3 linked regions of the Struthio camelus genome follow. The protein of the gene in region 3 purifies or fractionates together with the protein of the main gene of each other region. This does not show direct contact. Links are inferred from orthologs where the notes say so. Each region holds a gene or a part of one and is shown on either strand. Other genes may lie near its edges.

The links.
Region 1: the proteins of MYCBP (region 3) and OTUD4 purify together in Homo sapiens (co-immunoprecipitation; 3 studies listed by BioGRID and IntAct, with this or other methods). This does not show direct contact. The link is inferred for Struthio camelus from reciprocal best matches to the Homo sapiens genes MYCBP and OTUD4.
Region 2: the proteins of MYCBP (region 3) and SPAG5 purify together in Homo sapiens (co-immunoprecipitation; 3 studies listed by BioGRID and IntAct, with this or other methods). This does not show direct contact. The link is inferred for Struthio camelus from reciprocal best matches to the Homo sapiens genes MYCBP and SPAG5.

Annotation. Positions count from the first base shown.
Region 1 is NC_090945.1:34,655,363-34,659,105, reverse strand, and holds the start of OTUD4 (OTU domain-containing protein 4), read left to right. Parts: upstream 1-1,456; 5' UTR 1,457-1,554; exon of another isoform or gene 1,555-1,620; intron 1,621-1,658; exon of another isoform or gene 1,659-1,881; intron 1,882-3,743.
Region 2 is NC_090957.1:16,565,953-16,569,695, reverse strand, and holds the start of SPAG5 (sperm-associated antigen 5), read left to right. Parts: upstream 1-973; 5' UTR 974-1,034; coding exon 1,035-1,058; intron 1,059-1,371; coding exon 1,372-1,470; intron 1,471-1,722; coding exon 1,723-3,275; intron 3,276-3,403; coding exon 3,404-3,596; intron 3,597-3,743. Other genes in the region: RSKR (ribosomal protein S6 kinase-related protein), read left to right, coding at 7-117, 207-431. UniProt on the Homo sapiens protein: Essential component of the mitotic spindle required for normal chromosome segregation and progression into anaphase. Required for chromosome alignment, normal timing of sister chromatid segregation, and maintenance of spindle pole architecture.
Region 3 is NC_090964.1:11,590,807-11,594,549, forward strand, and holds the start of MYCBP (C-Myc-binding protein), read right to left. Parts: upstream 2,161-3,743; 5' UTR 1,983-2,160; coding exon 1,968-1,982; intron 1,868-1,967; coding exon 1,795-1,867; intron 160-1,794; coding exon 111-159; intron 1-110. Other genes in the region: GJA9 (gap junction alpha-9 protein), read right to left, coding at 3,346-3,743. UniProt on the Homo sapiens protein: May control the transcriptional activity of MYC. Stimulates the activation of E box-dependent transcription by MYC.

The sequences.
Region 1 (3,743 bases), on a different chromosome or scaffold from region 3:
CTCGTTCCTATACCACACCTCCCTTTCTGGGGTCTTTAACTCATGATAACAAGTAATTGTCAAAAAAAAAAAAATCCATAAAAACAACCTCTTTAAAATGTTTCCTGTTGCATCCCACAATCATTTGTAGGATGCTGATCACCTGAGAGTTAAAATGAGTCCTGACGGTGGTGAAGGCACTGCTTAAACTGGTACCACAGCCAAAAATGAAACTTTAATCCAATCACAGCTTCACACAGATGTCAAGAGGAAGTCAGAGCCATAGGGCCAAACACTCAAGCCCTTTGGGCTGCACAAGGGCTAGCTCTGATTTACAAGACGGTAACGCGATCTTTAGAGACAGGGCCACACTCCCAGCCTGACTCTCTCCTCAGCTCCCCCGCTCTGGCAGGTCCCAGCCTCGCCTGTCCTGCCTTCCCCTTCCTTTCAGCCCCACGGCCCGGCTCCCAACGCCGCTGTCCCCCTCTGCTCCCCGGCCCGCCTTCTACCTACCGCACCGCTCCTGCGCCCGCAGGCCGCCGGGCGGCGCGGCGCACCGAGCCCGCGACGGCCACAGACCTCGTTTCCTCACGACTCCGGCTGATGCTCCCGACCCGCCGCCCCTGATTTAAACTACAGCGTCTGGCGGTGCCGGGGGGAATAAACCGCCTGAGGAGCCCGGGCCACAGGGGGCGGCCGGCGGCGGGAGCCCCCTGCCGCCTCCCGCGCCCCTCCCCCCGCGGGCGGCCGTTAGGGAGACCGCGGCGCGCGGCGCCCCCCCGCGGGCGGCTCCAACGGCAGCTCCCGCGCGGCGCTGGGTCCTCCTCACGCCGGGGCGGCTATAACTAGGCCAAATTCAGACGGCTTTTTCACGCAACCAGCGTTAAAAGGGATCCATCCCGCGCCTGCGGTTTTCACGCCCTCCCTTCAAAGCACGAAAAGGCATCTTAAATTAAACTTGCAGCCTCGCTCCTTCGTCCGTGTCGAGGGGCCGCGGCAGGGGGGAGGGAAGGAGGGGCACAGGACACGCCACTTTTTCGGCCTGGTTGCGTGGAGGAGCTGCCGCGGCGCCTCAGGCCGCCTATTTCGGAGACGCGTTAAAGTACATCGGGGAAAGAACCAGCCCCACTCCTGTTCGCGGAACCAGGTGCCTCCGAGGGGCCGGGAGGGGATCGCACAGCAGCACTTTGAACTGCGCGTTAACCGCATCCCCATAATTAGGCAGACAGGACCTGCCCGGTGTTGGACAAGCCCCGACACCGCGCACCTCGCTCTGAACCCGGCCCCACGCGCCCCCCGCGTGCCCAACCCCCGGCGCCGCTGCCGGCACCGCCGAGCGCGCTACCGGCCCTGTGGGGGGAAGGGACACACTCCTGGGCGGTACCACTGCAAGCCCACTGTTGGGGGGGGGCGGAGGCGCGGGCGACTGCCTCTCGCCTTGACATCACCCGCTTCCTTAAAGTTACCCAACGGAAAAAAAAAATCCTTAGGGGAAGCTTACGCCACGTGCCGCTTTCTCCTAGGGCATCTGGGGATTCTCACAGTCTGTCTCCTTCCTCCCCTTTGCGACAAATGGTACGAGCCACAGCCACCCGCACAGGTGTGGCCGGTGGGACAAACCAATCGTGGGCGGGGGGGGTGGTGGAAAGCGGTGTGGGCGCGCGCGCACTCGTGTGCGTGTGTAGAAGAGTGATGAGAAGTGGCGAGGCGGGAGGGCGAGACCGGGACGGGGTTGGTCCGCGGCCGCATCATCGCAGAGCGACCGCCGCGGGAGATTGAAGTGCCTGCGCCGCCGCTGAGGCCCTTGCCAGGCCAGAAGGAGGCGGTGCCGCCGCCCGCTCCCGCAAGCCGTTGTCCGGGGGGGGGAGGGGGGAGCGCGCGCGCCCGCCCGCCCCTCCTCCGGTAAGTGCCAGTCAGCGGGTGGGGGAGGGGTGCGGGGCCCGCCCGGTAGCCGTTGCGGAGGGGGGAACCGCTGAGGGGGGAGGCTAACTCGTCTGCGTGTGTGTGGCCGCACCGGCGGCCGAGCGGGCCCAGCCCGGGCGGATCCGCTCCCGGGGCAAAGGCGGCCGGGCCGGGCCGGGCCGCGGAAGGTGCTGCCCTTGCGGCGGGCGGGGAGGCTGTTGGTGGCAGGCCCTTTGGGGGGGGGGGGGAGTGTGCCTGTCCCCGGCTCGCCATGGGTCGCGCCAGCGAGATTTGCCGGCTGGAAGGAGTGATTTTTATTTTGTTTAATTGTTATTATTATTTTGTTTAATTGTTATTAGTGTTTTGGTTAATCAGCGGGGTCTGGAATGGGGAAGGGGGCACGTGAAAGTGGGCGAGAGCTGGTCTCCTCAAGGTGGTGGTTTCATGGACGCGTGAGGCGGGTAAGGGTGGTCGGTCGTGCACCACCGTGTGGTGCCCCCGCTCCCTGGTGCTGGCCCAGGTGTTAGTACAGGCAGGCAGTGAATTGAATCATAACGATGATCTTGGTTTAAAAATTAAAAAAAAAAAGTTCTTAGCTTGAGTCTGTTTCCTGAGCTGACTCTGTCGGCACCAGTGGTTGGTGCAGAGGAACCACTAGTGGCAGGAACTGCTCTGTTTTTGGTGACAGCACTGGTTGAAAGCGTTTATAAAACTAGTTGCTGATTGGCTACTTGAGTTATAATTAGGTCCCCTTTACTTTGAGGGAGCGTTCATTTTAATGCTGAGGGGTTTCAGGTGCTTTTCAATTGATGCCTTAGAAATGCCACATGCCTTAGAAATTGTGCAAGTACTGACCAGATTTCTTCAATGGGAACTTCACCTTTTTAGAAATAAACTGCTTCTTTGATAGCAGTACATGAGCAAAAACCTCTGTGGATGACCATTGTGACTTTAGGAGCTAGACACAAAAGGAGTGGGCTTTTGGGGAACTGACAGCTATATGGCTCTAATATTATCAGTTTATTCGCATACCAGAACTACGTTTGCATTCTGTGACATATTTAATGACCTTATTTTTTGAGTGACCTCGTGTATAAAGGCACTCTTGAGTCTAACAGACCTAATGAAAGCCATTTACCTTTCCTCTAACTGGTCTCTGAATCATAGTGACAAAAGGCTCAAATACAAGGGAAGACAAATTTGTGAGCATGTTAGAGGATGCTTCTGGTACTGAAGGTGACTATTAGACTGAGGGGGAAAAATGGAAAATTCCTAAGAAACTCTGTAACTGGACACTAGTTTGATAGCTCACAAAAGCATCTAGTCTTACCATCTAAATCTATGGAAGAAGCAATTGTCCCATGCAGGAATCTGTTAGCTTTAATTTCTTAAGTGAATACGGTAGCTGTGTCAGTGCCGGCAATTGTTTGCAGTTCAGCATTGTGATGGACTTTTTACATCTTTTGGGGAGAAGTTTGAGCTTTCCCTTCAGTTCCTCACTAGTGTTTATGCCTCATGCTCCCTGTCATAAAGCCTTTATATGCCCTTACTGGTTACCTAGCTCCCTGTTTCTTAGAGCCTCAGATGTCATCAGGGCTTTCCTTTCACTTCTCTTAGTTTCTGTGCTCCTTGTCTACAGAGATGTCTGGGAGATTGCTTCTGTTTCCAGTAGACCTGCTCCTTGCTTGGCAAACCTGGGCCTCTTAGGAAAAAGAAGTTTGATACTGCTTATACAGAGCTACCATGGTACTCAGCTTGGCTTATAACTCCAGCCTATCCAGTTGGTTACTATTGTATACAGACCACATCAGAGCTTGAATCATAGCCTTCCCTGGCTTTGTTTCTGTTGACTGAAAGTAAAA
Region 2 (3,743 bases), on a different chromosome or scaffold from region 3:
CCCCAGTTCCCGGTGGCACCAGCACCGGACCACGTGGCCATGCTGGAGCGCGTCAACTGCAGCAGCTACGAGAGCCCGGGTGCCCTCAGCTCGGCGCTGGCCCGGCTGCTCGCAGAGGTACCCCTGCCCGCCCGGACGCCGGGGTCCCCGCTGGCCCCCCGGCCCGGACGCCGGGGTCCCTGTGGCTCAGTGTCCTCCGTCCCCAGCTGCTGTGCCGAAACCCACTGCGGCGCCTGCGCTACCTCCACCACTTCCAGGGCCACCCTTTCTTCCGGGGGATGGCCTTCGACGCCGAGCTGCTGCAGAAGGACCCCGTGGAGGCGGCCGTGGCCCCGCGGCCGGTGGAGGAGCCCCTGCCCGAGGCCGCCGTCACCTTCGACGACTTCGACTGCGACCTCGCCGCCCCTGCGGGCCGGCCCTGGCCTGGCTGAGCCCGCGCTTGGGCCCTGCCAGCCGGAGGCCGTGCCTGGCGCTTGGGCCCTCTTCGCCATCACTCAGGGAAAAACCCCCCTCCGGCACCGGGTCGGACCCCGCCGTGCCAGTGCCCCCTTTCCCACCAACGCCGTACCTCTCCGCGCGCTCGGCGGGAGCAATAAACCAGAGACCGCCGGGCATCACCCCCTGCCCCGGAGTCGAGTCGCCTGGCGCGCCGGAGGGGAGGCCAGAGCAGGATGCTCCGGAGCAGGCGTCTCCCTGCGGGCAGCGGAGGGAGGGCGAAGGCGCGTCGCGAGGGCCGCGCACGGGTAGGACACGGCCGCTCCGCCCGCGGGGCCCGGCCGCGCCGTCGGCCGCCCGGTGCTCGGCGCTGTACAAACGCCTCCGCCCCGCCCCGACGCGCCGCGGGGCGGGGCTTACCCCGCGGCCCCGCCTTAGGCCCCGCCCCCGGCGCGGTGACGCGCGGGCGGCGCAGCCAATAGGAGCCGCGCGTGGTTTTCAAACGGGGCCCGGCGGCGGCGCGCGGGGAAGCGGCGGCGGCGGCGGCGGCGAGACCGAGCCGATCCGAACCGGCAGGCAGGGAGCGAGCGAGCGGGGCCATGCGAGCTGCGCAGCCGCCCGCCGTGAGTGCCCCGGCGTCCTGAGCCGGGGGTCTGTTGGGGGGGTCCCGGTCCCGGTCGGGGGGTGTCCTCCCCGGTAGGGCCCGTCCCGGAGTGGCGGTCGGCGTGGGCCCCGGCTGGGAGGGGGGTGCCGGTGCGGCGGTGGAGGGGAGGCCCCGGGAGCGGGGGTGGGGGAGCCCGGTACCGGGACGGCGGTGCCGGTGAGGCCTCGCGGTGCACGGACCCAGTACAGCCCCGTAGGGCCCCGCGGGCGGGGGGGTGCGCGGGGGCCGGGGCCCGGGCGGCCCCGGTGCCCGCGGTGACGGCCGTGTCCCAGGCGCGGCGGCCCGGGCGCGCCCCGCTGCGGGAGCTGCGGCTGCAGCCGGGCGCCGAGCGCACCTGCCTCACGCCGCTGCTCCGCCGCCTGCGGCTCAAGGTACGCGGTGCTGGGGGGGACCGGCGACACGGGGGGCAGCTGGGGGTGGGGGCGCTGCGGGGGGGGTAACAGCCGGGGGTGGCAGGGTGTGCTGGGGGACCTGGGGGAGGGGACAATGGCGGGGGGTGCTAGGGATGGTGGAGGGGACAGCTGGCGGTACTGGGGTGGGGAACTGGGGATACTGGGGGAACAGCTGGAGGGGGGTAACTGGGGAGGGGCAGTGCTGACATCCCCCTGCCCTGTGTCCTGCAGGACCATGACAGTGCCAGCCCAGGGCCATGCACCCCGGAGCCCCTCAGCAATGCCACCCCAAAGCCCCCCAGCAGCACCAGGGCCACCCTGGAGCCCCCTGGCAGCCCCACCCCGGGGCCCTGCAGCCTGGAGCCCCCCAGCAGCCCCACCCCAGAGCCTGCTGGCAGCACTGCCCCAGGGTGCTGCACCTCACAGCCCCCCGGCAGCACTAGGGCCCTGGAGCCCCCTGAGAGCACCCCCGTGGGGCCCTGCACCCCAGAGCCCCCTGGCAGTGCCACCCTGGAGCCCCCTGAGAGCACCCCCGTGGGGTCCTGCACCCCAGAGCCCCCTGGCAGTGCCACCCTGGAGCCCCCTGAGAGCACCCCCGTGGGGTCCTGCACCCCAGAGCCCCCTGGCAGTGCCACCCTGGAGCCCCCTGAGAGCACCCCCACGGGGTCCTGCACCCTAGAGCCCCCTGGCAGTGCCACCCTGGAGCCCCCTGAGAGCATCCCCATGGGGCCCTGCACCCCAGAGCCCCCTGGTAGTGCCACCCTGGAGCCCTCTGGCAGTGCCACCCTGCAGCCCCCTGAGAGCATCCCCGTGGGGTCCTGCACCCCAGAGCCCCCTGGCAGCACCAGGGCCCTGGAGCCCCCTGAGAGCATCCCCGTGGGGTCCTGCACCCCAGAGCCCCCTGGCAGCACCAGGGCCCTGGAGCCCCCTGAGAGCATCCCTGTGGGGTCCTGCACTCCAGAGCTCCCTGGCAGTGCCACCCTGGAGCCCCCTGAGAGCACCCCCACGGGGTCCTGCACCCCAGAGCCCCCTGGCAGTGCCACCCTGCAGCCCCCTGAGAGCACCCCTGCAGGCCCCTGCACCCCAGAGCTGCCTGGTAACGCCACCTCAGAGCCCCCTGGCAGCCCCTCCACAGTGTCCTGCACCCCAAGGCCCCATGGCAGGACCCCGCTGGGCTCCCCAGGCAGCACCACCCCAGCATCCTGCACCCTGGGCCCCCCCGGCACCAGCTCCACCCCACAGGAAGCCCCCTTCCACGGGTGGCGAGTGGCGCCCGCCGACCTCTCCTGCAGCCCCACGACGCCCACTGACCTCTCCTGCAGCCCCACGGCACCCGAGCCCCTGCACAGTGACGGGGATGCTGGTCCCCCACCTTGCAAAGGCTCCTCCAGGGGATCTGCGTCCCCGACCACCTCTCCGCCGGGGCAGGACCCCCCTGGGCCCTCTCCCACCAAGGCAGGTGGGTTGGAGCCTGCAGGGCCGGAGCCTGCGGCCACCTCTGTCCCCTCGCCTGAGCTGGCCCCAGGTGCCGTGTCCTGGGTGATGCCACTGGTGTGGCTGGAGAAGAGCCTCAACGCCTCGTCTCTGCTGGAGTCCCTGCGGCACAGCCTGCCCCTGCCCACGCTGCAGCAGGACGTCGGTACCAGCATCACCCCTGTGCCCGCCGTGGCCACCGGGACCTTCATGACTCCGCGGGACCTGCTGGAGAGGAGCACGAACACGTCTGCAGAAGGGCCTGCTTGTGCCAAGGACAGTGCTGCCGAAACGGACTCTCTGCTCTGGCAGTAAGTCCCTGTGCAGCAACGGAGCTGCAGGGATGCGCTGTCCCAGGGTCCCCCCCCATCGGCAGGCCACCCCACCCGCGGGGTGCCCCTGCTCCGGGCCGGGCCCTCAGGTGTTTCTCCTTCCCTAGCTGTCCCCGGGAGCAGCTGAAGTCCCTGCCGCGAGCGGAGCTGGAGGGGCGGCTGGAGAGCACCCTCATCATCATCGAGGCGCTCTCGCTGCAGCTGCGCGACTGGCAGGAGAACCAGCGGCCGCTTCCCGGCGTGGGGCCGGCGGAGCAGAGGGACGCGCTCACGCAGACGGACGTCACCCACCCCAAAGGGGTAAGGGGCTGCGCCGGGGTGACGCCGAGCGTGCGCGCCCCGAGCGGGGAGCGAGCCTCGGCGCCGCGGCGGTGCCCGCGTGTCGCCCGCAGCGCTGGCGGGGCCGCAGCTGAGTGCAGCGGGCGGTCGCGCTGGGCGCAACTGGAG
Region 3 (3,743 bases):
ATTTTAAATCTCCTATAAATGTTTCTCCAGTTCATCTTGGAGAGAAAAAAATACCATTTGTGTTTTGTGTTAAGTCTCTATGAACAATTCACGGAAGAGAAAAAGGATACTCCAGTGCACTATTCGGTTTCTCCGGCTCTTCATATAAGGCTACCAATACTGGAAAAAACAAAACATTCAGCAATTGCAAGCAGTACAATAAACTGAAATATTAGAGCATGTACCAACAGTCTGAAGACATACAAGTTGGAATTCCACATTTATAGAAAACTTGCCTTTAACAAGACTTTTACCTATTTCCTTTGACTGTATAAATAGATCTGCACAGGAAAGAACAGAGCATCGCATGCAATAACAGCTACTCAGAAATTGTGTCAATTCCCGTACCCATAGGCGTAGGCTATTTAGCTCAGAACACAGAAACGAACAGCCTGGACAAATGTGGCATTTTCCACGTGCAACCATAGCATTAGCTTTCATCACTAAAATGTGAATTCCAACTATTTTGAGACTCTTGCTTCAGAAATTATTATTTCTGTTTAGGCTACATCTTTGAAACGCAAGACATCGTCAGCACTTCTGTAACTTTCAGTATAAAAAGCAAATCTCAACTGAACATCTACCGTTAGACAACGAAATGGGTACTGTCAGAGTAGATGACGTTCATCACTCATAATCTTTATGGATCTGAGTTCTGTTGGACAATGCCAGGCAGGTCAGGCACAAGCATCGGTACCCTGATAAAACCAGCCATATACATACGCCAGCTCTGTATGTGGAACGCTCAGTCTCATGAATCATTAGAAAATTCCCAAATATACGCTTCCCCCAAACACACACATAGCCATAGACAATGTTTGCTTTTATAAATATTTTCTGAGCAATGTTTACATGGGACTTAGGTGTCCTTCGCCCAGCTTCTGATGTCCAAACTACAGAGCCACATTGGTTTCAACTAAGCACCTAAGTTAAAAATAAAAACAGAGTGCTATTGTTTGGAATATGTGTTTTGCTATCGCAGAGGATGCTTATTACCGTGATAGTAGAAGCACATCGACAAGAAATCAAGTACTGCATACGCTCTAGGCCAATAGTCTTAAACACAAAACCCATTTGCTTGACACACTAGATCTGTCCTCTTTAAAGAACATGCTTTTCAAGCAGGGATGTTAACAGACTTTGTCAACATACTATTTGAAGACTCTCAAAAAAAAAAAAAAAACTTAGCAGACATTGGGACCATACTGAAAGTCAGAACAGGCCTAAGGTTTAGCATAAATATTTGCCCTAAGTATCCAATACAGATACTTAGTCATTCAAGTTCACAAGATCTAGGAGGAGCTCCAAGCTTTACTCAAAAAAAAAGGATCTTTTTAAATAGCATGTTTTTAAGAGATCATTTTGTGTTTTGCCTCAAGCATTTACTTACTCCGGAGATTTGCGGCAGTATTAGAGCCCCCAAATGAGTCTGTTTCCAAGAACAAGCTCGGAGAGAAGCGCTCTGCCCGAGTGAGAGAGGTCCGCAACACAACAGACCAAGGAGAAGGAAACTGCCTTTATGCCACTCCGGTGCCTTTACCGTTCCCGTAGCGGCCGCCCCAGAGGCGGCAAACTGCCAGAAATGCAGCGGGCACACGAGAGTCGGTCGCGTCTGCCTCCCCCAGGACGCCCCGCCTCGGCGCCCAGCCCAGAGGCGGCTTCGCCGTCGCGCACGGCTCCAGAGGCCGCGCGGCGCGGGCAGGGCCGGGCCGGGTCGGGCCGGGCCCGCCGCCGCGGCCCAGGCCGGGCACTTACCCTTGGTGAGCGTGTCCAGCACCCCCGACTTCTCCAGGTAGCGGCGGAACTGCTCCCGCTTGGAGTCCGCGGCCTGGGGGCAAGGACGCGCACACGGTCAGAGCGGCATGCCGCCCTCGGCTCGGCTCGGCGGAGACCGTCGGGGCCCACCCGCCCGCTCAGTTCTTTCCTACCTTGTAATGCGCCATCGAGCCCACACAACGCCAAGCCCAGCTGCGCGCCTGCGCCCTCGGCCTTTACGGCGCGAGCGCTTCCCGGCGGTCACCATGGCGACGGGGCCCGCGGCGACGCCCCCGCCCTCCACCTCTGACTGACTCCGCCCGCCCGGCGCCGGCGCCAGCGTCAACGTCAGCGCCTGCCCCGGCCCCGGCCCCGGCCCCGGCCCCGGCCCCGCCCCCAGCCCCCAGCCCCCGGCCCCGGCCCCGGCCCCATCCCCGGCCCCAGCGCTGCGGGGCGGCTGCGGCTCCGGGCGCGCTGCGCTGTCGCGGCGGCAGCGCTGTGTCGGAGGCGCTGCCGCCGCGCTGGCCGTGCCTGAGGAAGCGCAGCCGCCTGGCTGCGGAGTCTCGCTCCGAGGGGCGCCGAAGAACCGCGGGCAGTGAAATCTTCCCGTCAAAGAGCAAAAGCAAGTCTGTCTATACAACAGGAACAATTACTTTCTTTTTTCCTTTTGTGAGACACAGTGATGCCTACTAATAAAAAATCCCGTTCTTACTGTCATCATAAAAAAGAACCCATCTAATAATCACACAACTGCAGTTTTAGTTTTTGGGTTTTTTTTCCCCCACCATTTTTTTGCACACTGTTCTGCAGTGACTTGAGTTTGCAGTGGAATAAAGGTGAAATTTCTTCTTGGCAAGGTACTGTGATGAAACAGAATTTTTGACACATGCCCACAAAAAAAGTAACACCCCCCCAGTGAACAGCAGGAAGAAAACAGATTATTTTGCATCTTGTCTTTAATCAACAGAAGTTTGAATGTCAAATGCTGTTTGTGAGCATCTGAATGCTAATGTTTCTATTATTTAGATAGTGGAAGAAAAGTGTATTAAATACTAGACTCTTTAAACAGGCACATTAAATGCAAAATATGCATTAGCACAAATTTATGTGCCCGCTGAAAATTTCACTCCAGAAAACGCAAAGTGTAAGCCTACATTAGCAGTATTAATTCTGATTGTCTCTAATTTTATTCAATTTAAATATTATCAGTTGTGATTTTAATCCTTGTATTTTGCTAGGCCTAAAGTTTTAACCTGGACTTCCCTGACTTTTCCTAATGTGTGGCTTTATATGATGTATGTTTTCCTCTTTAGCTGGAAGGATAATGAAGCTTATACACTGGAGTTTAAGTCATCTTTGTATTAAAAAATGTAAATACAGTTTAAAGATCACTTAGCTAGTAAGCAAAGGTGTACACAACTTGGTTATCTATGTGAAAGAGCTGGTTAAAGTTGAATAATTTAGCTACTCTTAGAAGTAGCTATTACTTATGTTGCAACGTCCAGTAATTCTCCCAGCATTGACTGGTGTCAGTTCACTTGCTAATTCACACTAAATTTGAAGATCAGTGGTGGCACGCCTGCTGCTGGCATTACTTGACAATGACATTCGCCTAGACAGAGGGACAGGCTGAGGACTATCACAGTTTCTGCTTTGTTTAGATTCTGAGCTCGCCTCCCCTATGGAGTCAGGAGTGTTTGGTCGGCTCAGGTTTTTTGGGTCAATTTTGGAAGTAGCGTGGCCTTTGCTTGCACTGAAACTGCTGAGTCTTCTGTTGCTGCTCTTTTGGAGAGAACGTGTTGAAGACCCTGCGCTCTCAGCCACTGCCGCGCAGTTCCGTGAGGTGCCGATTCCACGCTGTCTTTTTAAACTGTTAACAGGAAAGGTATCACATGAGGTTCGAGATGGCATTTCAGCAAAGCTTCTCAAGCACATGCTTGAGGCTGTAT